Astyanax mexicanus: one gene and its partners. The protein of the gene in region 1 binds, or shares a complex with, the protein of each later gene. Links are inferred from orthologs where the notes say so. Each region holds a gene or a part of one and is shown in the gene's direction. Other genes may lie near its edges.

Region 1 (7,753 bases):
ATCAAACGCTTCAGCAGAATCCTTATAGGGTTTAATGGAAGATGGGAGTGCCATCTGTGTGCCGCCCGGGCCGGAGCCAGGGCACCGTCTTTAGCATGTGGCGTGAGGGGGACGAGGGGCGGGGTCTGCCGGACAGTTGGGCGGTCGGCGGTTGGCCGGGGCGCTGAGCCGTGCTGTAAAAGGGTTTAACTTTGCTAACCTTCACCGTGCCAGCCTGCCGGCACCTGCTGGCACCTGCCGGACCCTGCTGGCACCTGCCGGACCCCGCCGGAGCGGGATATTGCGCCGGGGAGATGTTGGCAGGCTTTGACGAGTCGCCGATGTGATGTTATTAGATTCTCCGGTGCACTCTGACCCCCCCTGCTGGCAGGGAGGATCAGGCGGTAAATGAAGGTGAAGGTGAGTGTGTGTGGGCAGGTGTGGCAGACCCTCACCTGCCGGGAGGGACTTGACTTTTGTCGGAACCCTCCGGATGGTCAGAGGCTCCAGCTGAGACCTAATTAACCTCAAGAGGACGGGCAAAACCGAAGCGTCCCCGATTTTCCATCATCATGTTCCTGAAGCAGTGCGCATTAGTACAAGTTTACAATTTAATATACAATTAAATACAGTATAATTGTTATTACAATATATTGTACTCAATTATATAAATAAAGACTTCTTAAAGATTTCTTGTGCAGTTAACTCATAATCTGTTTTCAATATCTGTTGACGGTAGGACTGCAACTAATGATTATTATTAGTAGTCGACTAATCTGACGATTCTTTTTTTGTTTCGATTAGTAGATTAGTCAACAATTATTTCTATAGAAAAAGCAGAACATGAGATTTAAATAGCATTAAATACCTGAATGTTGTTTAAATGTGGAAAGTACTGATATTTAGTGATTAAATATGTAATCTCCCATTTATCTCCCATTGCGCTTCTGTCCCCAGCACTTTGTGTAATGCAGTATTTTTGCAAATTAACGATTAGTCGACAATTAAATTTATACCTAAATAAAATACCTTTATATGGGTCAATGTAATGTAATGTAATTCTTCAAGTAGTTGACACTCAGAACTCAGAAAGTTTATCACAAACCGTTGCATGGATTTGTTCTTTTTTTGCTGGCCCTTTTGTATTTCAGTGTTTAATGGAATATATTTAGTCAGCTTAGGGTTAGTCAGGAAAGTGAGTTGAAACAACCTTTCCACTTCCATGTTTTATATGTCACTACAACTCAGTAAAACAATAAATGACTATAAAAATCCTACCAAATTCAAATAACTTATTTATTTAAGTATTGGCCAAAGGCCCTCACAATTACTTTTTAGAGACATGTAAAAGAAATAATAATTTAATATACCACTTCGTTGGTATTGAATGTTGAATGTAGCTTTGACTCCTAAAAGAAAAACTCCTCAAATCATTTTATGTCCCTATATTGTATTGGATGGACACATGTGGGCACATTCTATTTAAAAAAGAACATTATAAAAATGAAAGGGAAGTAAGGTGTAATAACCATGCCATAGAAGGTTAAGATGCATCTGCAGGAAGAATGGAACAAAATGACACCTGGACCTCGTCATCACGTTGTATTTTAACTCTGTGGAACTTTTATTTGATTGTGTATTTTATTGAAGGTGATGCGGTGTAGAGATTGGCGTGAGAGGACAGGGCTTCAGGCTGGTGAAGATGGTGAAGATAGTGAAGATGACACTTCAAAGGGTTTATTTAACAAACAGGAGGAGGAGTAACCGCAGGCCGGCCGCAGCTCCTCGGGGTGGAACGTTCCGGCGCTCTTTCCACTGCGGTGGTGAGCTCTCGCACGGCTCTCGCGCAGACTCGTGGTCGGGTTTGAAGTGAAGCTGTGGTCGGGACTGTCTTGAGTTGGGTAGACTGAGTGTAGCAGGTGCAGAGAGCAGCTGCCTGAACCGTTTCCAACACCAGAACATGCTCAGCGGTACCCCCCAAAAACACCAGGTATACCGGTAAAACTCTACTGAGTACTGAGTACTGAGTACTGAAACCGAGGTTTAATCCCAATTTTATAACTGATTTTAACCCAATTTCCAGTCAGTCTGCTTCCAGATATCAAAAACCACTCTTAATCGTTCCCATGTTCATCCTAAGACGTTTGAGCCAGCACCCCGGTTGCTGAGTGTAATAAGGCAATAGACCCGAGATGCACATGCCAACACCCCGGTTGCAGAGTATACTGTAGTATAGTAAACTCCAGCATGCTAAGTATAATACAAAAAACATCCCAAGATATTTGAGCCAACACCCCGGTTACCGTGCGTAATAAGACAATTGGACCCCGGTTGTTGAGTGTAAAATAGGAATCTGTCCGAGTCGTTTGAGCCAACACCTCGATTGCCAAGTGTAAAAAGAGAATTGGCTCGAGTCGCATGTGTCAACACCCCGGTTGCTGAGTATAATGTGGCAATCAGCACATCTGTTAGTCCCAACAACCTGATTGATGAGTATAATATAGGAATCTGCCCAAGATGTTTGAGCCAACACTCAAGTGTAAAAAGATAATTGGCCCGATCACATGTTTCACCACCCTGCTTGATGGGTAAAATATGGCAATTGTCCCAATCCACCGCCCCGGGTGCTGAGTATAATATAGAAATCTGCCCAAGACGTTTATTCAAACACTCTAGTTGCTGAGTATAATATTACAATTGTCCCAAGTCGTCTGTGCCAACACCCAGATTGCCGAGTATAATATAATAATCTGCCCAAGCCATTTGTACTAACATCCTGGTTGCTGAGTATAACATGAATCGACCTGAGTTGCATGTGCGAACACCCTGAATGCTGACTATAATATAGCACTCATCCCAAGTCGCATGTGTCAACACCCCAGTTGCTGAGTATAATATGGCAATTGTCCCTTGATGTTTGTGACAACACTCCAGCTTGCTGAGTGTAATATAGAAATCTGCCCAAGCCTTTTGTACCATAGACTGTGTATAGCTGAACAGAGCATTGTCTCTCAAAAGTGAAGCCACCACAGGTCGGGCGCCCCCTGCTGTTCGGTTGCAGAAAGCTTTTTAACCCCTTTTTTTCAAATATACTGTAATTCTACCTCCATTATTTAAATCTAACAGCTAGTGTAAGCTCTGCTTATATCGCCAAATGTATATATCCCCACAGAATTCGTTTTTTAAATGTTATTCAGCTCAATTCAAAAAGGTGTGGTTATTGTAAAAGGGCTGGTTATGGGCGGGACCAATAACAGATCGTCAGCTCCGCTCCGCTCTGCAGCCTGTGACCTCGAGGCAGCCCTCAGGGGCGGAGTTATTCAAATGAGTAGGCTGTCTCTACACAGTCTTTCTCCCTCCTCTGGACTCTACTGTGCAGTCTCGGGTATGGCAACATGGCGGAAGATTTTGGCTTCGTTTTCATTGAATGAACGGGAACGGCGACACAGCGTCCATCTTTTTTTACAGTCTCTGGTTTGTACAAACACCCTGGTTGCTGAATATAATATGGCAATCAGCCCAATATGTTTTTGCCAACACTCCAGTTGTGGAGTATAATATATGAATCGACCTGAGCAGTATGTGCCAACACCCTGGCTATTGGATAAAATATGGAAATCGGCCCAAACTGCTTGCATCAAAACACCAGTTGGCAAGTAAAATTTGGCCCAATTCTTCATGGCTAATACCAAGTCTCATCTGATGCTGCTTTACATCAGATAAGGCAGATCCTTTATGCTATCTGAACAGATTTCAGGACAGTTGGAGTTACTGTCTACCTTATTCAATATCTTATTATTTTTTATTAAATTATTTAAACAACCAGAACTGTAATTTAACTGTCTTCATGAATGTGCCTTAAGACATCCCAAGACTTGGTGATGGCTGAACAGGTTGTAAATAATTTATTATTTATTATTTTGTGCGGCAAACTGTGATTTTTAAAAAATATTTATTATGGTTGCGCTTTGCAAAGCAATGTTAATATCATAGCAACCCCTAGCAACCAACACAGATACCATAGCAACACCTCAGCAACCCCCTACCAACCACATAGCAAGGTCACAGCGACCGCCATAGATTTCATAGCAACAGCTTAGCAACCACCTGGCAACATAATTGCAACCCAAAAGAAACCACTTAGCAATGCTATAGCAACCACCACAGAAACCATGGCAACAGCTTAGTAACCACCTGGCAACACCTTAGCAAACACCTGGCAAACACTTAGCAATGCCAAAGCAACAACCACAGATACCATAGCAACTATTTAGCAACGCCATAGCAACCATCACAGATAGCATAGCAACCACATGGCAACACCTTAGCAACCACTCAGAAACGTCATACCATGACCTGGGATACCATAGCGACCAACTGTAGTCGTTTTAACTGGGCATCAATCCTGCATTTCAGTTCAGTCATTCTATTACTAATTCTCTTTAAGTAAATCAACATTTTCCCAGCTCTAAAAACATTTGTGCTGTAATTTAATATTTTTCAAAACATGAAAAATATATAATTTTCTAGTCACGAATTTTAGGGGTGACTTTTATTTTGAAAAAAAAAAACGCATTGCAAACGGTTATTCAATTCTATATTAATATGTGTATTTGATATACATGTACTATTTATTTCTCTAATAAATGATTATTTTTATGTAAACAAATATAATAATAATAATAATAATAATAATAATAATAATAATAATAATAATAATAATAATAAAGGACTTTTATGAAGGACTTTTATTGGTGGCACTGTGGGGGCGCGGCTTCGCTGGAGCAGCAGCAGCGGGGTCACATTAGCTCGCGGCTAAAGCTAAAGTCTGGTGTTTGTTGGTGTTTTTCTGATTTATTATCAGTTTTTAGTTTATTAACAGGCTCATGGACTCTTCTAAATCAGGTAAAAATCACCCGAGCTGCTTTTCTTCACAGCGCTGCTGAGAAAACAGGATATTTAGCGGGAAAATGAGCTGAAGTTAGTTAGCATTTCTGTACTTTAAGGGCAAAGTTGGGCTAAAAGAGCGAAAATCGCCTGAATTCGAGCTTAAAACACACAGTTTAAACATGAAACTGATATTAATAATCAGTTATTTCTGTCATAAAGACGAGTTTAACCTGTGTGTGCTGTTATAAAGCTAAATATCTCCTTATAAATCTTGTTGAGCTGTTATAACTCTCCGTTCCACCTTAAATAGTGCAGCAGTTACATACAGCGTGGCTGCAGCATTTAAGGTGGAACGGAGAGTTCAGCAGTGTTTAGACAACTTAGCTTTTATTATTATTATTAAAATAAATTAAAAATCATATTCTCCGTTTAAATGACAGTTTGGGGTCATTTTCAACCTAGAAAAGGGATTGTCAAAATATTGGAAACACCCCCACGTTCACTTGGTGTTTCTGTTATTTTGTCCACCCAAGTATTAAACGTACTGGTAATGTAGCCAATTACAATTACATTTCTTGAGTTAATTTTACTCATTTATTTTTTAAAGTAAAATTACAATATGGAAATATTGTTACGTTAAAGTTTTGGAGTTCATTTTAATAGAATTTCAAAAAATGGCTATTGTTTGAGTGTCTCGCATGGTGTTTCTGTTATATTGGCCGCACACCTCTAAAACATTTTTGTAAAAATGAAAAAAAGTCATATTAAAATGTCATTGGTTAATATAATTTTATTTGATTTTTAGTGTCAGATTTAAATTACATTCTCTTGCCAGTGTTTGAATTTCATTCTCATATTAATGAATGATAGATTTTTTAAAATAAGTCTCTGAGAACTTTATTATCAAATGTTAATCATATTATAATTCTATTTAGGTTAGTTTTATCAGAACTTAATTTGCAAAGTTGAATTTAATCTGCATTTTATTTGCAAAGTTTAATCAGATCCCTAGCAATATTACATCTATTGTTGAATTAAAGTTTCAGTTCTGAAGTTAATTTAATTTCAATTTCAGTTTCATTCTTAAAGTATTTTTTGTTAGAAATTCACTCTCACTCTTAAAATTACACCCACACAATCTGCCAAAGTGTTTGAGTTTCGTTCTTATGGTAATGTAGGATAAACTTTTATTTTTTAAGTAATTGTTTTTAGGTTTTATAATTAAAGGTAGGTCATATTAAAATTTCATTCAAAGTAAATGTTATCAGAATTTTATATTCAATGGATAATTTTAATAGAATTTCATTTTTAATTGTTAATTTCAGTAGAATTTTATATGCAATGGTTAATTTATTGCAAATTGGATTTGCAAAGGTAATTCTAGCAGAATTTCATGTGCAATGGTTTAATTTTACCAGAATTTTAGTTGCAGTGTTAATTTTTGAGCACTGCCATGTATGTTAATCAGTGCAGTTATTTAGTGGGCGGTTCTGTTTTCTCAGGTGAGCCTCACCTGAGGCACGTGGAGCTGGACGTGCTGATCCCGAAGATGATGAGGGAGAAGGCGAAGGTGCGATGTTCTGAAGTGGTGGAAGGTATGGAACCAAAACCTCACAGGATTAGAACCCAGAGATTCTAGAACATAGCGGACCCACCGGTGCTTACTACTGGAGTTTATAAATCCATCAGCAGCCGGAGTCTGAGAGAGAGAGAGAGAGCAGTAGATCATGGTGTTAATGTTAGTAGGTTTTATTGCTGAAATGAAACCTGATAACCAAAATTTTATAGCTTTTTAATTTTTTTTATTTGTGTATACTGTGTGTAGTGTGTGTGTCTATACTGTGTGTAGTGTGTGTGTGTGTTTATTCTGTGTGTAGTGTGTGTGTATACTATGTGTGTTGTGTGTGTGTAATAAACACACAGTGACATTTAGATCGGGATGTTCCAGAGTTCAGCGTTTCCTATAAACAGCTCAGTTTCAGCTCTGTGCTCCTCAGGATTCCGCCAGTCATCTCTGAACCCGTCACCCTGCCGCAGATACCATCGCTGACGTTCCCCGGCGCCGTGGCAACGCCGACCTTTAGCACCCCGACCCCGTGGAACACCCAGAAACCACGGCGCTGTGTCTGGAACTGTGTTACGCGACCTCTCGTGGAGAACTAGAGTAACTGTGCCGCAAAGTCTTCTTCTACAGCTCTGCTGTATTGTAGTCCGAACTTGTGTTCGTCCCGTTAGTTTTGGTTTCACACTGCAGTTTAGTGGTTGACACGCTGAAAAACTTTACTACCTCCTGTCAACATCACCTACGAATGTGGGCGGAGTCTCACTATACTCAGCACTGATTGGTTTGTAGAACGATCCAAGTGAATTCTGTCCCTCTACCAGAATGCGTCTCTCTTCGAGCACGGGTCACTGTCTTGTCGGAAGACCCATTACCTAGAATGCAAACCCATCTTTCTGACACTGTTATATACAGCTCTAAAAAACATTAAGAAACCACTTCAGTTTCTGAATCAGTTTCTCTGATTTTGCTATTTATAGGTTTATGTTTGAGTAAAATGAACATTGTTGTTTTATTCTATAAACTACAGACAACATTTCTCCCAAATTACAAATAAAAATATTCTCATTTAGAGCATTTATTTACAGAAAATGAGAAATGACTGAAATAACAAAAAAGATGCAGAACTTTCAGACCTCAAATAATGCAAAGAAAACAAGTTCATATTCATAAAGTTTTAAGAGTTCAGAAATAATCAATATTTGGTGGAATAACCCTGGTTGGTTTTTAATCACAGTTTTTTCATGCATCTTGGCATCATGTTCTCCTCCACCAGTCTTACACACTGCTTTTGGATAACTTTATGCTGCTTTACTCCTGGTG
Region 2 (6,793 bases), on another chromosome or scaffold:
TTTTTTTTTTTTTTTTTACTGCAGAGTTTTGTATCACCTACACCTGTAGCCCGGGTAAAGGCATGTTCATAGGTTGAGTTCTAAAGTCCATAGAATTTTTTCATTTATGCATGGTATTTGCAGAAGGCACAAAATCTGCTGATTGCAAGTCTAACACAACATGTGGGAAGCTTTCAAATGTTTAAATGTTTTTCTTAAACACCAGGACAGGGTTTAAAAGATTCCAGTCTTTTTTTACCTGGTTCATCTAAGTGTTCTCTTCCAGGTAGTTCCTCAGGCTTGATATCTCCCAAATCTCCAGTCTTGGGATCAATAGTAGCTTTAGAAAGTTCATCTTCGAAAGCCTGCAGGTCTTGAGCACTCGCTACACGCTCATCTTTCTCAGTGAACACACGGATGATGCCATCACTGTGAACAGTTCGCAAATCAATGTAATTAATAAGTGTCTACACTAGTTTTCAATAATAATCAACTGTCTGAAATGTTTGAGTACAGCTGATTTTGTAAGTGAAAACACAATGTAGATCATTTGTGTACCTGGCTCCTACAGCGATGTCTCCATTAGGTAAAACACAGCAACACCAGACTGACTGGGTAGGTAGACGGATTGTCTGAGCACATTCACCATTTTTCCAGATCCTTACTGTGCGGTCCTCTCCTGTGCTTACGAAGTCTGAGAGAGAGAGAGAGAGAGAGAGAGAGAGAGAGAAGAAGCTTTGTCATGAATTCATATTTTAATACAATTATTTACTAATCATTCAAATTAACTGACAGTTAGAGATGTCCCTGATCCAATCATGTGATCGGAAATCAGGATCGATAACATAATTTCAAAGGGTCGGAATTGAGTGAAAAAGTTCCGGATGACTGATGTATCAGATTTCTGAGTGGGTGTACCCTTCAGGCGGAGTGATTAGGACGCTGGTAGGCTAGGAAAGCGGGTATGTGATGTGTATCACCTGTTTTCGAGTATGCTAGCATGAACACTAAGCCAGCAAACTTATCGATCCATCAACTATTTTTTATCCACGTTTCATTCTCCTCTTATTTTTCCTAGTACAATATAAGACTTTCACAAACACATTTTTGTAATAAAATGGTATTTTTGGATACAGTTTCAATAACAATTGCAAATACAATTTATTAAATAGACCTTAACGGACCACTTGGATGTGTTTTTTTGTTTTGTTTTGTTTTTTTACTGCATTTCTAAAGTATTGGATCGTGACTCGGCAGATACTCTAAATGTTATTAGGGATTAGGAAAGTCATTTGACTTTTTATTATTTTTCTAATAACAAGTGCCACTGTCCATTTGTAAATGTAAATATAAGACTATAAAACTATATTATTTTCGCCATTGTTCACATTACTCTCTTTAGAAAAAAACTCTATTAAACAAAAAACTACTATAAGTACTAAAATCCTCACCTTGTCCATTTGGAAAGACAGACAGACTGTAGATATAGTTAGTGTGACTGTAGTATACTTGAACACATTCTCCTGTCACCATCCATCGCCTGATGCTGGCGTCATTACTACAGGACAGGAATTCAACATCGCTCACTACAGCTAGTCCTCGAACACAGTCCTCATGACCTGCAACAATAAAAAATAAATAAAACACACACAATCAACTCAACACTGACCTCTTGTGGTTCGTGTAAAAAACGAAACTGAATCTGATCATTTAAAAAGAAAAGCACACAGTCTAGCTCAGAAGAAATGAAAATGTAAATGTCTATGAGGCTCACCTGAATATGTTCTCTCACAGCGTCCAGCTTTCCAGAGTTTAACAGTCTTGTCAGCCGATCCTGTGAGCATAAGTCCCTGCTCTGGCAGAATCACCACAGCCCATACTGCTGCTGTATGCCCCTACATACAGAAACAAAAGCAGACACACCCATACATTACACACACGCATATTAAAATAGCTCAGGACAAAGAATTCCCAAGCAAACAGAATTCAAAAACAAATAATTCTTCAGTTCTTAAGGCAGAATTACCTGTAAAGTCATCATACACTTGTCACTGAGCCAGACTTTAGCTGTGGTGTCCCATGATCCACTCAATAACGTCCCAAACTTCCCAGCTGAGAGTGTGCACACTGTGGACAGCAGGATTAGAAACTTGGAATGAATAAGTGGCCATAAAGGTTTTGGTCACTCTATAAATATATTATTTTTAATCCATTATTTAAAAAAGAAAAATCAAATAATCACAGCCTTGACTCTTCTTGATGATAAGATGAGAAGGACTGTACTTATGTGTATTATAAAGCACTACACCTGTGTTTTTGTGTCCTGTCAGAGTAAACATAGGGTCCGGTCTGTCTAAGGAGAAGACGCAGATAATGTTGTCATTGCCTCCTGTTGCAATAAGGCCCCTGGGGTAGGTTTCATTGGGGGCGATGATGCAGACACAGGAAACGAAGTTCGTGTGGCCGTTCATACAGTGCATCTCCGTGTAACCTCTAGTTTCACTACAGAATAAGAAAATACAAAGCAACCAAGACACGTTTTCAATTATAGCTTGTGAACACCTGCAACATGCTCGCTGCTCAAAGTAAACACTCCACTAACAACAGCGAGAGACAGTATTAATAGATATAGAGTCAGTAAGCCGATGAGCATGCACATGCACATTCCAAATCTACTGTGACATTTCACAAATATGCCACGTACATAACTAACAGCAAAATCTAAAACTGAAACCTCAGACATCCCTTCTGTTTTAAGTGTCATTGTAGTTTTTTTTTTTAATAAAATAAATTGCTCAAGGCTTCTACAGACGTTTTAGGGTAGGTCTGTCACAATTAACTACTTTTGATTGGATGGTATATAGTCCCAAAAAGTACTGTGACAAATATAGCTGGACAATATACTGATATTTTTTTATATTATGATCAGTTTTTTAAACCATATTGAGGATATCATCAGTACAACATTTTATTACAGAGAGTATAAAAAATCCTGTTTAATTGGATGATGTGCAGCAAAATAAAATAAGAATCACTATACTCTGTGTTTCAAAATATTAATACTGTACATCATATATAAAAATATAATATTATTACCATATCACCCAGCTCTATCAGTGCATGATCATTTACCAAAATATAAGAACTTTTATATCAGAGCCCAGCCTCTTTATTAACAATATTATTTAATCAATTAATCTAAGCTAGGCCTGTCACGATAATTATATAATCGATTTATTGTATAGTAAATACCTGAACAATATTTGATTACTGTGATATTGTCTATTGTGTGGCTTGTATGTTTGTTCACATATAGGTCATAACAGTGAACAGTGTTTTAGCCAGTCATGCAATGAGCAATGTTTTAATAACTGTGACTCCCTACACTTAGTGTGGACTACAGTAGGTAAAGTATATAGTTATCAATCAATGATTAATTAGAAATTGGTTGTCTTTAAAATTGTAACATTATAATTTATTAGTTAAGCTATTCTGTTATCATTATGTCAGTGGCATTTAAATGTTCTAAAATTGAGAATAATACCGTTTATCGCAACAATTTCAGGAACGATATATCGTTCACAAAATAGTATCATAGTGGAAGGAGTAACGTAAGCTAGTTAAACCATGGTTACAGTGTTGAGAGCTGCCCGGCCGGCCGCTCTGGTTGCTATAAACACTGTTAGCGAGGCTAGCTGGGCTCTGTTGTTAGCTGTAGCCTGCCGGCTAAACCGGCTACCTTAAATTTGGAGCCCAGACTCTGGCGCTTCGGTCCCGCGACACGGAGACGAAACCTCCCTCAGGGAAAACCGCGGCGGCAAGGCCCCTAACATCCATCTCATGGCCCGGGATGGAGCAGCTGAGCCGGTAGGTGCTGGGAGAGGCCATGGTGTAAATTCAGAGCTCCGCTAAATCAGCACGATAAAAAACAAAACTCATTCAGCCCCGGAACTGAGAGAGCACGAGCGGCCCCGTCCAGCAGAGAGGGAGAGACACTACAAAATAAAAGACCCCGGCAGCAGAGACCGAGAGACACTCTACAAAAGAAAAGACCTCCGCAGCAGAGATGTAGAGACACTACAACATAAAAGTCCCCTGTACTAAAATATTTGATATTGTTCTGTGATGAGGAAATAAGTACAATTTTTAGTATAAAAAAGATTCAACGTTTATAAACTATCAATTTGCTCAGTAGCTCTATATGAACCAATTTCATTGTTGACTCTGGGAGCGCCCTCCGATGGTGTATTACAACCTATTCTTCTTTTTAGAAATAACATGTTAATTTAACAATACCATTGTTTTTACAAGATATTTTTAAATAATTATGTTTTTGTTTTTTTATTTATTTATTTTTTTTTTAGGTTTAAGTCCAATCAGAACGCATACTAAAATAAATAGCTGCTAATGCAGTTACTGGCAATGAATGGGTTAATTTCCGAGTGCTGAACTTGACCCGGATAGAGTTAGGTTAGCTAAGCTAGCTACCTGTCTGTTCTGTCTTTCTCAAGGTCCAGACATGTCGAGAAACCTGAGAATAACACTCATATTCGGGGGCTTCGTAACCGCAGTGACTGCAGCTTTTTACCCGATATTCTTCCACCCTCTTTCTCACAAAGAGGAGTACAGTGAGTTAATCAGCGTTTCTAGTTTGCTGTGAATAACTAGTTTGCCAGTGATGTTAAATAACGTTAGCTAACTGCTCTCACCCTTTAATAACCAACTGTCATATAACCGTATGTCAATATATTAAAAGGTTCTTAATTAGAAAGATAGATTCCCTACCGCTAATTATATAGAAACATGTATGACTATAACTAAGAACTCTTATTTTATCTAGTTAGCTACATTTTATTGTATTTTATTTTATGGCGTGGCCAGTAACAATGTAAGCTAAGTAAATATGTACATATAAATGTATTTTTGTTGGGAACTTTATTTAAACAATATCTATCAATCCACAGTACAATTCAAAAGTTTGGACACAGAAAATCGATTTTTGTTTTCAGTGAATCGATACAGAATCGTCCATGTCCGAATCGAGATGCATTTAAGAATTGAAAATTTCCCCAGCCCCCAATTTGTTTATTACTTGTATTATTTACTACATTGTAGATTAGTATTAAAGACTCAAAAACAATGTGGAACTCTATATGCAGTTAGGTAGAAGATAAAAAAGGGGTTCTGCCTTCACAAACACCTGACATAAAAAATCCATCCCAGGTGGTTTGGGAAGAGATGGAGCTAATAGTAACGGAAAAGCAGTTAATAAGAGCTTAGTACCTCTAGGAACTTATTTATTCCAGGTTCTACCTCATAAAACGCCTGAAAGAATAATGTGAAGACATTCTACTTTTAAGAATCTAAAGTATAAAACATATATGATATTTTGGGTTGTTTAACACTTTTTTGTTTACTTTCCTATGCGTTCCTTTATAGTATTGATTTCTTTATTAGTAATCTACAATTTAGATAATAATAAAAAATAATAATAAAAAAAAACATTAAATGAGAAGGGGGTGTGTCAAAACGTTTGAGTGGTACTGTATGTCAGGCTTGTTTATTAATCCTAACCCAGCATTGCAGTGATATGAACCTTTGCAAACCTTTGTGAGGTCGACCTCAACCACTCTGTCTAATGTTAAATCCTAAACTTCTACAGGGGAGATCCAGAAAATCAACCGAGCTGGAATCAATCAAGCAGATATTCAGCCTGCTGGTATGTCTGGTTCTTCTGCAGTAAACATTCAAGTACTGTATTATGTGTAGCTAAAGCTAAAAGCTTAGGAAACATACAGATGGAGAAACAGTATGTATGGCATGTGTCTTTTCATGCTTTGCGATTTCTCTATTTTAAGGAGTGAAGGTCTGGTCAGATCCATTCAAACCGAAGTCATGATGTGATGCAAGGCAGTAGCAGAAACAGATGGGAAAAGAGATTCATGAACATAAAGACATCATTGCAAATGTCTGGGACATTATGCACTTCTCACTTCAGTGTGACTGAATGAACCATTTAACATGCAAGCGAGTGAAAGAAGCTTATTCCCTGGAAGACTCCTAATTTTCCCTGTTTAGTTTTCTTGGCTGTAACACGTTAACACTCATTCAGTCTTTGATAGCTGGCCTGTGTATTACAGGAAAAATGGTACAATTCTGGAGTAAGGCCATCATCTGGAAAAAGTTACATTGGGGGAAAAAATCAGTAATATGTAATACCTGCCACAATATTGTGTCATTCATTGTCATATGTTGTAATGTATAGAATGATTTATTCCTGAATGAAATAAAATGTGATTTTTGGAACTATCTAGTATGTTTGTGTTTGTAATGAAGCATGCTGAGCTCTAGGGGGAGCACAAAGCCTTGTAGATCCAATAGGTCACGTTCAGTCAGAGTGACTTATTCATGAGATACAGTGTAGCATTATATGAATGGTTTCCATTGCAAATGATATGAAGATATGGGAAATTTAAAATGTTTTTCTATTTAATATTTTGTTTATTAATAATATTAATAACCCAACATTCCAACAGGCCATTTAACATTATTTGCAGCATATTTATTTATTATTTAGAGCATAGCTAAGTAGCTTTCAAACACAACACTGAAAGATGGGATAGGTGTGGTGACTAAGCTCCAGGGAAACAGATGTGATGGGTGCTGTGAGGATGTCAGAAGAGACACTAATCAAGAGCTAATCTACAAGCACAGAAGCACAGATGTGTTTAGAGGATTAACCTTACCAACTGAAGCTTAATAATTAAACGATTTCTCTGGGTTACGATGTTATGGTGTTGGCTTCTTCTTTTAC
Region 3 (7,832 bases), about 39 Mb from region 1:
ATTTTATGAACTGCATGATATCCAAGTAGGTAATATAAAAACCATTCACTATATACTGTAATATACTGTGTATTAGGCGGTAAGTAGAACAGTAGTAGGTCATTAATGGTATGGCTAATCAGTCTATACAATCAGTATATACATGCAAAAATGTTTAGGTTTATACCAGCCATGTATTAAGAAACCCTGCCTGTTATGCACTACTCGATCACATTGTACACATTTAGAATTCATTGCCAGTCCTGAATGAACAGGAAGAGCATTTTCTCATACTGTCTGTGGTAATGCATCGACTCGGTTACATGAAGTCTATGTTTTCATGTCTGTTGTAGTCACAGTGTAAAATGTGCTCTGTCTGTGTGTCTTTGCTCACACTACATTATGTTGCATTGTCTCCATCATGTAGACTTCTTGAAAATAGTGCAGTCCTGGATCAGTACGAACGAGCTTCAGAGAAATATGAAAACATGGACCGGAGATTTACAGCAGCATGATGGCACGGACACTGTAGTCACAGGCATAGGGCCTACAGAACACACTGCAGATGTAAATGGACACAGTAGCAGAGAAAAAAAAGAGACTTTTAGATTGAAATTGCTTGAAATATCTAAAACTTGAATTTTGGACGAGCATTATTTAATCCATTTGCCCTTTTTTTAATTATTCAGGCCGTTGGTTGACATTGGACAAACACACTGTATTAACTGTTATTTTACTTCCATTATAAGAATAAGTGTAAACAGAACTTTCCTGTTGCATGCATTTGTTATTCTTCCATAAAAATATGTTTTTTTGTTGTTGTTCTTTTTGTTGTTTTTACACCGGATAAACAGTGTTGACACAGATTATTTACAGCCATATCTATAGTCTACATATATTTACCTCAGGCCAAGAGAAACATTTTTGTCTTTTTGCATGTCTTATGTCTATTTGTCATTTCGTTTAACAATTGATCATACTAAGTTAAATCCAAGGCATTGTGAACTAAACTAAACCCCCCTTAGAAGGCAAATTACTGCACTAACATATGCATGCTTAAATATTTAAAAAAGATAAAATATGTGTGGCTAAGTTCATTTTAAAAATGTTTTAATTAAATTAATTAATTTTGCTGTATAATCTATTTAAAGTGCAGGTGCAAAACACACTCATAAACTTTTGCTACATTTTGGTGGCACATAATATTTGTACACAAATTTTTGTAGCTGTTTGAAAGCTGGACCACCTTTAACACAGTTTATGTATGCATTAAGAAAATAATAAACTTTGACAAGAGCCCCTTTCATGTTTTCTTATGCCGGCTGAGCCTAAATCCTAAAGCGTTAGTTGGTGTCCCTGAACTGGGATTAATATGATGTCATTGGCATGTTGTGAAATAAAATAATTAAATAGCAAACAAATTTGTATAAATTGGACTGATGATACTGTGATGATTGTCTTTTCCAATTCCAAGGACAGATCATATGCACACTGCCTCTGCTACTAACAGGTAATGCTAATACCATTCTGTGATTCAGTGATGCATTAGAATTCCTGTACACATATACACACACACACACATATATATTGTTGCTAGTGATGTATGGTACCAGTCAAATGCTTGGACACACCTACTTATAGAACCATTTTTGTTTTCTTATTTTAACTTGTTAGTTCCAGCATTTTATCAAAAACATGAACATGAGTTTTATTTGTGTGTGTTCTGATTTTTCATATTTTACATATAAGCTAAAAATATATAAACACCAAAATTATGTGAATTCCAAATGTCATGGAACAGCAGTACATAATTTGATAAAGTGTTACCTCCGGGAACAGCTTGGGACCACCCACAATTTAGTAATAATATGTGAGGTGTTGTGTTATCAGTGAGGATGAAATTTGGCCAGGGTGCTCATGGCAATGCGGAGTAAATTTTAGAGTCAGAGTGGCATGCCTTAGACTCGATTGGTTTATCAAAGTGAGGGCTCTTGTCCTAAAAACTATATATTTGCAAACTATTATCATTGTTTAAATGTCTGTACTGCTGTATATTCCTAAAACCAGAATTTGTACTATTTATTTGGATCTTAACCTTTAGAGCACTAAATAGCTCAGCTAAATAGGGAATGGAAGCTAATTGTTACCAGTTTGTATGATGTCATTTGCAAATTCTTAATGATGACTTTTCACTTTCATCATTTCATTGTTATCAACAACATTGGCATTAGACCTATCCCTTTAAATATATGTAGCCTATAGCCAGATATCTGGAACCATGTTTTCTATTTTTCTTGTTCAAAAATGTGCACTGCAGAGCGTAAAGAAGGACATGCTTGTCTTCAGGGTTGCCCTAATAGTGTTTTTTTACTTTTTCAACAGGCAGATGCATCACTGCCCTGCGTCTTTCCATGTTTGACAGCTTAAGGGACTAACTCGTAACATCCTCCTACAGACAGGACTGTCAGATTCAGCGAATATTAAGTGGGGCAGCGTCTGCTTCTCATCTGATTGCCTAGGGCCTCTTGGCTTTTGGTGGACGACACTAACTTGTGTTCCTACATTGACTTTAACCTGCTCAGCCACTGAACAGCATTGTGGTGCCTAGAGAGTAGACAGACATAAGTCTACATCTCCTGACTGCAAACTGAAATCCAGGGGCGGATTGGGATGTTTGGGGGTGGGGATACTGTACTGGGAATAGGATGGGGATGTTGGTTTGTTTTTTATTCATTTTCCATTGTTTTAATTTTTATCCATTGTGTGGGATATGAAACAAATGTAATTATTTTTTCTCTTTTGTGACCTTTAAGAAAAGAATCTAAAGCTAAAATGTGAATCTAAACTTTACTGAATGTCAATGCAAATTTGTTCCTTTTCCTAAAGTAGACTTGAGCTGCACAGGCCACTGGAGTCGTGTTGTCATTTTGTAGTCAGTGCCCACATTATAAACTCTATGTAGATTCCTCTCTCACATAATTAATTTCCTAGGTTTTGGAAAATTGTGACTTTTGTGGTAAACACACACATTTTAAACCCTACAGAATTTTTTCTATGTGTATTTTTTATTAAATGCCCCTGTATCCTCTGAATTATACACGTTTTGCTAGTTACAGACTAAGCCTAACACTGCAACACACTGAAAAGACTTGTTTCACCAAAATACTCCAAACAAACCAGCCAGCTTTATCAAATAAAGAGAGTTAAATGTCTCTGGTAGCGATAGAGTTTGAATAAAAATGTATATTTTACTGTAGTAAGCTCAAAAAGTAGTTGTTGACATAAGCACTGTGCCATGTCAGTGTGCAGGAACGTTAGCTTAGCTGTAAGCATAGATGTAGCATTAATCAGTCATTTGTTTTGACCCATTAGATGTAGCAAATGAGGATCCAGAGACATTTAGGGGGGAAACCTTAAAAAACCTTAAACCTCATTCATTTGTGTCCAAAAGAAATTCACCTCAGCCCTGGAGTTTATAATATGGGCTAACTAGCTACAGAATTGACACAAATCATCTGCGGTCTACTGTTATTATTATCACCTGATAAACAGATATCAGTTATTTGACCTGATTTTCTGTGATCTGTTTTTCAATTTCCTAACCTCTGCCCGCTAAGTGCACATTCACTAAAAATTAATTATTAGATTCAGATTTGACCAAAATCTTTAGAAACTGGTCAGCAGGTCTTGTCTATGCATATTTGAATAGAAAGAAATGTTACTACAATCATATATAAGCTGCAAGGTATTGATCAATGGTATGAAAGTAGATCACACATCTTTTTTTTTCCATATAAAACATGAAATGTCTGTATGTTCAAAACCTGCTCATTTGCCAGAAGGTCTACTTGGGTCAGCATTAGGTGAATCATAGACAAAATGTTTTTTAATAAAAGACATGAATAATTCTGTCAAAATTCTTGTTTCAACACTGATTATTAGTATTTTTGAATGTTTTCTTTTTTTTTAATACAGCAAAAGTGAAAACAGAATTATATTTGTTTTTATTTTACGTAAATTGCTTATTTGAGACCAAGAACCAAGAATGTTATGGTTAGTTATTTGTTAGTCATTTTCTCTTATGCATTTGTTTGGATTTAGCATTTTTCTGTTTTTGGTTTTTATTATTAAATACGTTGAAAGACAATACACTCAGCACACATGACTGCACCATGTGAAATATGAGGAGATTCAGGAGAATACAAATAAAACTCATAAACTCCAAAAACATAGAATGGATAGGGAAAACAAAAATTTTATTAAATAACACATATATTCCATAGGATTTCAGAAACCCTGTGTTTTTAATCTTAAAACCTAATCTCAGCCATAAGCAAAGAGTACATTTATTTCGTTTAACTTGCATTTATGCATTAAAAAATTAACTAAAATTAATTAAATATTTAATACAACATAACTACATTTTCCATATATTTGTCTATTTTGGAGAGATAGCAAATAACATTCTTAAGAAAGATTGTTAATATTTAGTTCACAGAAAGAACAAATATTTCCAGACAATGATGTTTAGTTTCTTTTGTAGTTTTAGCGACGTTTGAACAGAGTTTATTATGGAAGTCAAAACACTACAACTCCCATGATCCTCAGCTACAAGAAATGCTGTGAACTCGCCAGACGTCAAGACAAAGTTCATTATAAAAAAAATAAAAGTACCCCAACATTTAAAGATAAAGTGTTTTAATAAGGAGAAATATGGCCTGTATTTATAAAAGTGACGATGTTTGTAATAAAGTCCACATTTACTCATAAGTGTAGATTTATAAACAGGTTTATTTTGCTAATCACGCTGTTATTATCGGAGAGGACTTTTATTTTGAAGGGGGGATTAGCTAGCTGGCGCCAGTGAGGCTATGGCAGGCTGTTCCAGTCATGAGTGAGGAGTGAGATTGTTGTGTTGTTGAGTTTTCTGGGGTCACGGTCAGTTTGACCATTTTCAGTCTTTGAAAGAGAAGCTGCTTATTTCACTGCAGCTTAAAGTGTAGCCTTACCGATTAAATAACAAGCTGGCTAGTGCTATGTATCTCCCAGACCTGTGCAGTGTTTAGCCAGGCTATCTTTTCTAGCTAGCTATCAGTTAAATACAGTGAACCACAGCAGCAGGTTAACTCAGTTACCTTACTGGTTCTTAACCTCGGTTATAATGGTTTATTCACTCCTGTTGAGAAGTGGCAGGACTTCACACTGTGTACAGCACTTACTGAAGCGTGTAAACATCCCCCCATCTCTACAGGTGTCACCTCTGCAGGTGAATAACCCTGTTTTAATCCAGGTAAAGTTCAATAACTTGCCCTTAACTCGGTGGACATGCCTGCCTCGCTGTGTTGGTGTTCAGACTCGAGGTTTCCACGCTGGAGGTCAGTGCAGAAATGCGAGTGACCCTGAGGGACAGGGCAGGGGTCGAGATCAGGTATCAGTCCACAAGAGCCAGGCCTCCTCTGGAGTCTCAGCTGCACAGAAAGGTGGGTTCAGGGGGTGTGTTACAGCTCATTACAGCGATTTTATGCAGAAACTTTAGTGTGACTTTAAATGTGCTGTGCTCTGGGGTTGTCTCCCTCCTACAGTCAAACAAGCTGGCAAAGATTTTACCTATCTGATAGTGGTGCTCATTGGTCTTGGAGTTACAGGTAAGATAAAGCTCTAAATTATTCTTTATTTTATGGATGCTTATTTCCAGTAGACAGGCTTTCTCTTATTTATTTATTTGCATATATATATATATATATATATATATATATATATATATATATATATATACACACACGCAGTGGAATATAAAGTATTTGCCCCTCTGATACCTTTCTGATATTTTTTTATAATTATCAAACCGATCTTAATATTAAAAGCACTTTTTAAATTATTTTTTTTCTTTTAATAAATAAAACAATCTTGCCCTGTGTGAAAAAATATTTGCAGTGCTTCCCTTGGTGGCAACAACTGCAATTAAACTTTACTGATAACTGGCAATAAGTCTTTTTCATCTCTGTGGAGAAATTTTCGTCCACTTTTCTTTGCGGAATTGTTTTAATTCAGCCCCATCTGAGCTTTTTTTTAGCATGAACGGCCTGTTTAAGATCACGTTGCAGCATCTCAGTCAGACTTTGACTAGGCCACTCCAAAACCTTCTTTTTTTAAGCCATTCAGAGCCTTTCAGCCTTAACCAATGCCTATTAAATGTTAAATAAAGGTTGTTTTAAGGTTGGTTTTCCATCATCAACCTACTAGGTCACAGTCAAAAGAATACGTAAATAAATAAATAAAAAAAAACCTGGCAACGATAGAAAGGGGCACAAAAGATTGTAATACATAGGTTTTATCGCTGGTTATTTCAGGATTTATGATTCTAAAATTATTCACCTGTTTTTTGCAGGTGGACTTCTTTATGTCATCTTTCAAGAACTGTTTTCATCATCCAGTCCAAGCAAACTCTATGGGAAAGCTTTTGAAAAATGCAGATCACACCCAGAGGTCTAATTTGCTAATTTGGAGAATGTCATTATAAAACTACACTATTTTTTATTAACTTATTTATTTCATGAATACATAAAATTTTCTTCTTACTTTAGGTAATTGGAGCTTTTGGTGAGCCCATCAAAGGCTATGGTGAGACCACTCGCCGGGGTAGGAGACAACAAGTTAGGTATGATGCAATAGCAAAATAATAGTAGACAAAATAATTAATATTTAAGAGAGTTGAGTTATAAACCATACAGTTTAATTTTTTATATATTTGACTTAACTCCCTTAATGTTCTCATAGCCATATTGAATACGTGAAGGATGGCCAGCAGCACATGAGGCTGAAATTTTACATTGAGGGTTCAGAGCCAGGACTGCACGGAACTGTACATTCAGAGGCAAAGCAGGTGAAATTCAAAATTCTTGTTTACAGTGTACACTAATGTGTTTCATTGCTGGAATTTATCAGTTTAATCAGATGAGATTTCTAATATAAAGATGTTTCTGGATGTTTGTCATTCCACAGAATCCTGAGACGGGGAGATATGAATTCCGCTACATATTTGTGGATATAGACGCCTATCCCAGGAGGACAATCGTGATTGAAGATAACAGATGAGATGGTTTTTCAGTGAATCCTGAACAGATAGAAACCTCTTCAAGCTCCCAGTGGAACTCTTACGGTGAACTTGTTTGTATAAAGCTAGGTTTATGTGTAGGGTAATGATTTCAAAATGGCAGTATTTCAAATAAGCATTAGGGGGAGTTCAGGTTTTCTTGCCTTCAGATGTCATATCCTGGTCATTTTTGTGAATACAATTATATCTATGTACACTGTAGGACCTGAATCATTTTTAAAGATTTTTAATTAACTCAAATTCTATGCATTTACACCGGGCATCCACATTGCTTACTCTCAGGTCAGTGGTCAGTTTGACTGCCATTAAATGGGCCCATTTACTACTGCCACATTTCATTCATATGTCATTCTGGGTAATTTCATTCACTATATTAAAGTAACTGCTTCCAGATAAGCAAAGAAAATGAACTCACTCACATGCTTGCAAACTGCCTTATTTGCACTGGTCCTTGGCCAGCTTCAAATAATACATATTAAGATCTGTTTTACTTCATGGATGTGAGCATTGATTTGCCATTCAGTAATATTGTTTTATTACAATAATAAGAAATAATGGCCATATTTGAATTTTGATTGCCAAGAAATAAAGCTTTTGTGAAGCAGGGTGCTTTAAAAATGCCAAGAAACAATTATTTTCTAACTTTTTGTAAACAAAAAAATAAATAATAATTATACATTAAAGATCAGATGATATGTTGGGGATGATCTTATTTGAATTGGCCTGGTTTCAACTTTCA
Region 4 (6,941 bases), on another chromosome or scaffold:
GTTTATGCAATTTATTTATTTATTTATATATTTATTTTTACCTTTCGGTACTCAATAGTACTGAGACATTGCGGTTGGTGTTTTTTTGGTATCTAGTTTTAATACCAAGCTCTAATTAGTATAACACTGTACTACGACCTCAAGTAAATAAGTCATTGGTCATTTAGCTAATTAAAAAATACCATGTTTTTTGTACAGTTTTCTGAAAATATGTGGTGTATCCCTTTTTTAGAAGGCACAGCTGGACACTGTTGCCCAAGAGAAACGAGAAGCAAGAAAGACCATGATGTTTCCTGTGGAACAAGCTGACTTCAGCACAAACACAGTGCAGATATTATCTTTAGCTTACCCTTCTGCTGGGCGAGCTCCCACAGAGCAGCTGCAGAGCTGTAGTTGGTGGTCATTGGGTACTCCACGCATACGTGCTTCCCTGCCTCCAGAAACTGCCTGAGAGGAAATGAAACCGTGTGAGAAACATCACAGCTAATGTACCTCATAATATCACAATATTTCATTTCTGTTTGAGTCCATCACTCAGCCCAGTATAATGAGTATCAGAAGACTCTCAGAGGACTAACAGGAAACCCCTCTTGAGAGTTCAGCAGTCAATAGTTGTCTTACCTGATATGCTCTTCATGGCTGGTGTTTTCAGTGCAAACAAAGGCCACATTAATGTCATCCCTGCTTAGAGCCTCTTCTAGAGGGATCTGCTGGACTCCCTGCTGGTCCTCCATTGTCCTCCTAAACAAAACATTTACAGTCAGTCCCCCATACTGGAACTTTTCACCCAAAAACAATTAGTAGATAAACACTCCTTTCTCTGATGCAATGGAGTGAGATAATTGACATCATGATCAATGATCAGTCAGCACTGATCAATAAACACTTCTGATTTAATACAGCTTAACATATAGTTTAGAACAGACAGAGTTAAGAGTTAAGTGAAGGCTAGATGATATGCTAATATTTGTAGAGTTTTAATATTATATATATTTTTATTGTTTTTAGGGGTAGGAAATACAGCTCTGGAAAAAAATAAGACACCACTTAAAAATTATGAGTTTTTTATTTTTATTTTACCAATTTAAAACCTCTAGAATAAAATCAAAAGGAAGATTTTAAAATGTAATTTAACTTCGAGCATGGCATGCTCTAACCCAACGTACATATCCTTCTGAACTGGGCGACTGGTGTAACAAGGGCTGGGGTGCTGCTTATCTCTCGGCTCAGTGGTTTTCTTATCTCACAGTTTAGGAGGAGTTACCACTATTACCACTATTAACTTACTTTCAAAAGTGTAATATGATCAATTATGATTATTTAATGAGTTCCTTAAATATTACGCCTTTTTTAACTCTGCTATCATTAACATCCATATTTTTTAAAACAAGTACTGTAGTATTTAGTTCTGGTGATGGCATTTTGTTATGTATTTTTTTATATATGTTTTAGGACATCTTCTCACGTCTATTAGAATTAAATTAAAAAAATTCTGAATCACAAAACATATTAATAACATTTATAAAACAACTTGCTATGACAACTGATTAATTAAAATGTTTTAAAAAAATGACTGTTCCACACTCCACCAAACATCCTGATTGACTGCATTTACATCTTTATTGTTTAATTATGCACACATTTAAAAAAACCTTTCTCCATTCTAGGGGAATGCAACTGACCTGGACACAAATCCCTTAACTGTAAACTTCTCCGCGGCGCTGGAAGGCAGAGGAGCCAGCAGGTCTCGAATCCGCACCCCCCCGGCAATGCCCAGGCCCACCACCACAGACCCCAACATGTTACCTGTGGACAAGAGCACACAGTCAGTGGGCAGCATAGCAAAAGTTCGAAGACACATGGGACTATTAAACTATTAGATCAGTCAAACAGCATTATATTACTATAATAATATTTGTTATTATATGATATTGGGGTGAATTAATAGTGACTGACCAAACAAATGATCAATTTCTGCAAAAATGATGCTAAATTTAATTTTGTGTTTTTAATTTTGGCTGCAACAATTAGTTGATATAATCAAATCAACAGTGTTTATTAAATAAATTTGTCCACTACAAATTTTATTGTTGACTAATCGTTAATTTATAACAGTGCTGGGGACACAAACTGATTACATATTTACTTACTAAATATCAATACTTTTTAAGTTTAAACAACATCTAGACATTTAAATGCATTTTAAGTCTCATATTCAGCTGTTCCTATTGTTTTTTGAGATGGAGGACGTTGCAGGAATAATCGTGGGATATATTATAACTGTTTAATTATAATTTTTATATTTATTATAATAATGTACAAACTAATGTAGAATTGCTGTTATCAATTACATTATGGGGTATATTATGACTGTTTCCATTTTTTATTTTATCCACATTTCAAAAGAAGAAAAATAATTGTATAATTTGCCATTTAATACTGTCAAACATACTTTTACATTTATTATTTTTTATTTCTCCGTTCCACCTTAAATGCTGCATTGTTTGCGCTCTGGCGCTTGTTCAGGCTCTCTATTGTAACTAGCTGAATTTAAGGTGGAACCGGAAATTGCAATTAGACCCAATTCGTTTTTGTTTTAAAATGTAGCTGAAAGGATCCTGTGTTTATGAATGTAACACAGCATGGGTTATACTGTAACAGATATGTGTTTATCTCTATAATCCGGCCTTTCTGCGCGCTAATATCGCTTCGGCTACCTAATATGGTTTAAATACAAGGAGGCTGGGGATGCCAGTGTGGTGTATAAAGCGCGTGCATGACAGAAAGACACGAGGCGAGTCTCTGAAGGACATTTACACAACGACATGCTAAAACCGCTTAGTTAGAACTGTTCTAAAGCCCGGAGCGCTGTCTCTTACCTCTGAAAGTCTGCGCGCTGTGCTGTCCGGCTGCGCTGCTGCTGCTGCGGCTGCAGTGATATAACTCTCAACTCACAACTTTCATAACTCGCTCTACACAGGGGAGGGCTGCCTGCACGGGTTGCCAGATTGCGCATTCTGACTCCCTCCAGTGAATGCTGCAGAAAGAGTGCTTCTGGAGTTTTCCCCATTATCTTCACATTTGTTTATTTCTTATTTCCCAGACTTTATGCTTAAATTAAATTCAGTATTTCTGTAAAATTGTTATTATGTCTGCACTACGTTATGGGGTCTAATGATGAGATGAGTGGTGTGTATGATTTCAACCAAAATGTAAAAATATAAAAAATAAAAGTAAAAAGGGAGATTAATATTAAAGACATGAAAACAATTAAGAGACACATATGGAATTACGTAGTAAACAGTGCACAAAATGTTAGTCCTAAGAAAATACCAAGAGTGTGCAGATCTGTCCCAAAAAAGATAAATGTTGTTCTTAAAGTATCTAAATCTAAATCTATGTAACAATCTATATAAGAATCTAAAGTATATTTTGGTTGGTTACATTTTTTTTTTTGTATACATAACAGTTTAGCATGTGTTCCTGCGTAGCTTTAATATATTCTTCAATATTAAATTTACAATGTAGAAAAATTCTCACTAGTTTATTAGTCTGTAGGATCATTTTTCTATTCTGTAGTATTTGCCACAAAAACAAAAAGTGACAGTAGTAATAAGACATTTGGGTATTAAAGCTTTGTCTTATTATTTTAGCTTTAGCATTAAACATTTATGCTCTTGAAAACATGTTTGGGAAAACAATTACTATTACTATCACTATTACTATGATTACAACTATGCATTTTATTTTCTATGCTCTTTTTATTATGTTTTTTGTTGCTCATATTTATAGTAAGAAAAGTAGTGACCTGATAAACTTCTGATAGACTGATAGACTATTTTATTTTCAGCTGTATTATTATTATTATTATTTTTATTTTATTTTATTATTATTATTATTTTTTTTTTTTGTGATTTTGCTGTGAATCCGGGGATTTAAGGGTTAAAGAGGGTCATTCGGTTCAAAACAAACATGGCCGCTCCCATGCGGCGGTGAGGGAAAGCCTGCAGTTTAGAGGGACGGTCAGTTAAACTGGTTTATTATCACGAGTTAAAGCTTAGCTTCAGCTCCAGATTTACATTCATATACAGATTAATGATAGAAAAAGGCTGGAACACTGGATATTGTCTAACGGGGATTTTGCGTGCTTGTGCTGAACGTTACGCAGATAACGCAGAGGGAGATTTTATCAATGCTGGGTTTTAAGGGTTTTAAGGGTTTTGGTTGATGACCATAAGTCAGCTATATGTTTAATACTTTGTTAGCTTATTAACTAGTTAACTATGGGGTTAAAGTCCTAACCATTGTTTAATGTTGACAAGAAGACATAGAAACAACGTTCTGATGATCTGATTTATGATCTAAAACGCGACCTATAAAGAGCAGCAGAGTAAATACATATTATTTATCAAAAACAAATGTTTTTTTCTATTTTTATTTAACCTATATTTTATTTTTTCTGATTTCATTTACATAGAACTGCCTCCTTTTCCGCATGTTCTAGCTACCGTACATCATTTTCGTTTTTGGGAGGGAGCTGTTGGTGCTAGTGAATAAATTAGTGAAAAAAAGTGTGATTTCTGCACTATTAAAATAAAATAATTGTTCACAAGTTACAAAGAATTAAAGGGCACGTAAACCCATTGATTTTTACTGACTCCACCCTCAGTGCAAATAAAACAAAAATACAAAAAATGAGAGGGTAGTTTGGAAGCTGCACTGTGATGGTGCTGGTGATGTATGGGTTTAGGGGCGGGGCAGAAGGAAGAGCTGATTAGGATAAGCAGGAGGTTGGTATTATTGATTGATTGATTGATTGATTTGCATATTGTGAATATCCTTCTACCAAAGTACATGGAAACATCCTCGCCTATAGCGCAGTTAAAACTGAGAATTATGTTGCAGAGGTGGAAATTACTACAATAAACGTGTTTTTTTTTTTAATTAGGAAATGTTTATCAGATTTTATTCTGGATCGACATGTTTCATTACTTCAAAGGAACACATTTCAGATATTAATAAAAATATATAAATGGTTATAAATATAAAAGGATTTGGTGCACCCTTAAACCATAATAAGAGCCCAGACCCAATTCTGAATGCTGGTGCCAAATTCAAAGTTGAATCAGATAAATTCAGTTTCTTACTGCGGGCAAAATACATATTATTTTAAGATTAAAATTATGATGTAACAACAACCATTTCATAACATTTTATTTCAGAAATCAGATCAGACCTAGTTCTGTGGAACATAAAACATTTCATTAAAAGATTTTAATTGTTAAAATGGTTGGAATAGATCAGTAAAAGCAAAAATACACTTTTTAAAGGATCTAGTTTTGCTTTAACTCCAGCACTAACTCTAAAGCACTTTAGCATTCTGTAAATAAGGTGAGATGAACAAACACAGATTAACCCTCTGTCTGGTAGTGATGCTCTCAGGATGTTCATTATGTGTCACTTAGTGGCACTAAACTCTAAACCACAATTTTTTATTTTATTTAATTTTATTCATATTTTGTTCATTTGACGTAATAAAACGTAATCCATAGTTGAGTGGATTATTTTAAATTAAGTGCAGTAGTTACTAAAAAAAAGAGGACTGGGTTAATAGATCAAGGCATTTTGTGTTTTTGGCATTTTTACTTTTTTTTTTTTTTTCAGGTTTGCTAAGATCGTGTGAGATCCAGAGGGTATGAGAAGATGAGCCGCTCCACCAGCCTGCTGCAGCAGATGACAATATTTGTCACTGTGATGACTGGGGGAGGATGTGGCATGATGTACTACCTCATGCAGAGTGAGCAGATAAACACAGATTCTATTAGAATTTGAAAGAGAATAATTTGATTGTGGGCAGGCATTAGATGTCAAGTGCCATGTTTAATATTATTATACTTCTGTGAGTTCCGACCCTGCAATGCGATTGGCTGAGAGGCGTTCTATGAGTGCTGTTATCAGCCGGTAATGCACTCTAACCGAAGCTCTGTGTATTACTCCACCACAAATAAACAGTTTTTAGTAGAGAAATCTGTGTAGACTAACATCCAGCACTTGTTTGGCTTTGAAAAAAAAATGTGTTTTTTTTATTACAGTTTTTTTTATTTAGGCACTTCCCCCAGCTTCCCTATTAGAAGGGAAACATGGCGACAGCCTTGCTCACTTCAATGTAGGCATCCTAACTAGTGTTGTTTAATTTGCCTTATAATCCGAAGCTCCTAATGTTTGAAAATAGACCAGAAAAAAGATGTTCATTGATAGTGCAGTTTATAATCCGGTGCGCCTTATAGTCTGAAGGAGTATTAGGAGTATTTTATCCTCTTCAGTAACACAGATGCTGTGAAATATTGTAGAGAACTGTCTAAAACATATGAAGTTTAACAGAATCACAGTATTGTGGTGTGATTGTGATTGTGGGCAACATGATCATATTGTACTGTGAGATGCCCTTTTGATTGTATACATTGTATTTTCCCCAATTCTTTTATTTCATAACTTTTTTTTAAATGATTTTTCCTGTTTTTTTTTTCTCATCTTTTTTTCTTCCCAGAAAACTTCGCTAAATCAGAGTATTATAGGCTGGCTATTGAGCAGCTGAATGAGAACTCCACAGCCATGGCCAGCCTCGGGGCTCCACCCCTGAAGATCCATAATATCCACCTGACCGATCGGCACAACCGCGTGGACCACACCCAGGCTCAGGTCAGACTTATTCACTGATAGTGTTGATTATTGAGCGTATTCACGTTTATTAATCTGAAAAACTCACAGATTTGGATCTACTGTTCTCAACTTCCAGCTGAAAATTCCAGTGACTGGACAGAAGACTGGGGGCTATCTGTACACAACATCCACCAGAGACTCGGTGATGAACAGGTACAGTGCTTCTTCACCTGCCATCACAAACAACCTTTTAAAAATACAAAATGATGATTTAAAAAAAA

What was found.
Region 2: cmc1 (region 1) and smim20 share a complex: the UniProt entries of both Homo sapiens proteins name them as parts of the MITRAC (mitochondrial translation regulation assembly intermediate of cytochrome c oxidase complex) complex. The link is inferred for Astyanax mexicanus from reciprocal best matches to the Homo sapiens genes CMC1 and SMIM20.
Region 3: cmc1 (region 1) and timm21 share a complex: the UniProt entries of both Homo sapiens proteins name them as parts of the MITRAC (mitochondrial translation regulation assembly intermediate of cytochrome c oxidase complex) complex. The link is inferred for Astyanax mexicanus from reciprocal best matches to the Homo sapiens genes CMC1 and TIMM21.
Region 4: cmc1 (region 1) and cytochrome c oxidase assembly factor 1 homolog share a complex: the UniProt entries of both Homo sapiens proteins name them as parts of the MITRAC (mitochondrial translation regulation assembly intermediate of cytochrome c oxidase complex) complex. The link is inferred for Astyanax mexicanus from reciprocal best matches to the Homo sapiens genes CMC1 and COA1.

Annotation. Positions count from the first base shown.
Region 1 is NC_064408.1:130,761,523-130,769,275, forward strand, and holds the start of cmc1 (COX assembly mitochondrial protein homolog), read left to right. Parts: upstream 1-4,741; 5' UTR 4,742-4,865; coding exon 4,866-4,884; intron 4,885-6,371; coding exon 6,372-6,464; intron 6,465-7,753. UniProt on the Homo sapiens protein: Component of the MITRAC (mitochondrial translation regulation assembly intermediate of cytochrome c oxidase complex) complex, that regulates cytochrome c oxidase assembly.
Region 2 is NC_064415.1:23,373,213-23,380,005, reverse strand, and holds smim20 (small integral membrane protein 20), read left to right. Parts: upstream 1-4,436; 5' UTR 4,437-4,498; coding exon 4,499-4,607; intron 4,608-5,641; coding exon 5,642-5,698; intron 5,699-5,837; coding exon 5,838-5,878; 3' UTR 5,879-6,285; downstream 6,286-6,793. Other genes in the region: plaa (phospholipase A-2-activating protein), read right to left, coding at 239-408, 538-673, 1,431-1,598, 1,754-1,874, 2,006-2,106, 2,288-2,481, 3,719-3,867.
Region 3 is NC_064408.1:91,587,782-91,595,613, forward strand, and holds timm21 (mitochondrial import inner membrane translocase subunit Tim21-like), read left to right. Parts: upstream 1-4,813; 5' UTR 4,814-5,140; coding exon 5,141-5,459; intron 5,460-5,561; coding exon 5,562-5,624; intron 5,625-6,367; coding exon 6,368-6,465; intron 6,466-6,563; coding exon 6,564-6,637; intron 6,638-6,756; coding exon 6,757-6,862; intron 6,863-6,981; coding exon 6,982-7,074; 3' UTR 7,075-7,669; downstream 7,670-7,832. UniProt on the Homo sapiens protein: Participates in the translocation of transit peptide-containing proteins across the mitochondrial inner membrane.
Region 4 is NC_064415.1:54,745,138-54,752,078, forward strand, and holds the start of cytochrome c oxidase assembly factor 1 homolog, read left to right. Parts: upstream 1-3,934; 5' UTR 3,935-4,022; intron 4,023-4,443; exon of another isoform or gene 4,444-4,790; intron 4,791-5,664; 5' UTR 5,665-5,703; coding exon 5,704-5,797; intron 5,798-6,547; coding exon 6,548-6,699; intron 6,700-6,796; coding exon 6,797-6,873; intron 6,874-6,941. Other genes in the region: blvra (biliverdin reductase A), read right to left, coding at 350-447, 622-741, 1,683-1,801. UniProt on the Homo sapiens protein: Component of the MITRAC (mitochondrial translation regulation assembly intermediate of cytochrome c oxidase complex) complex, that regulates cytochrome c oxidase assembly.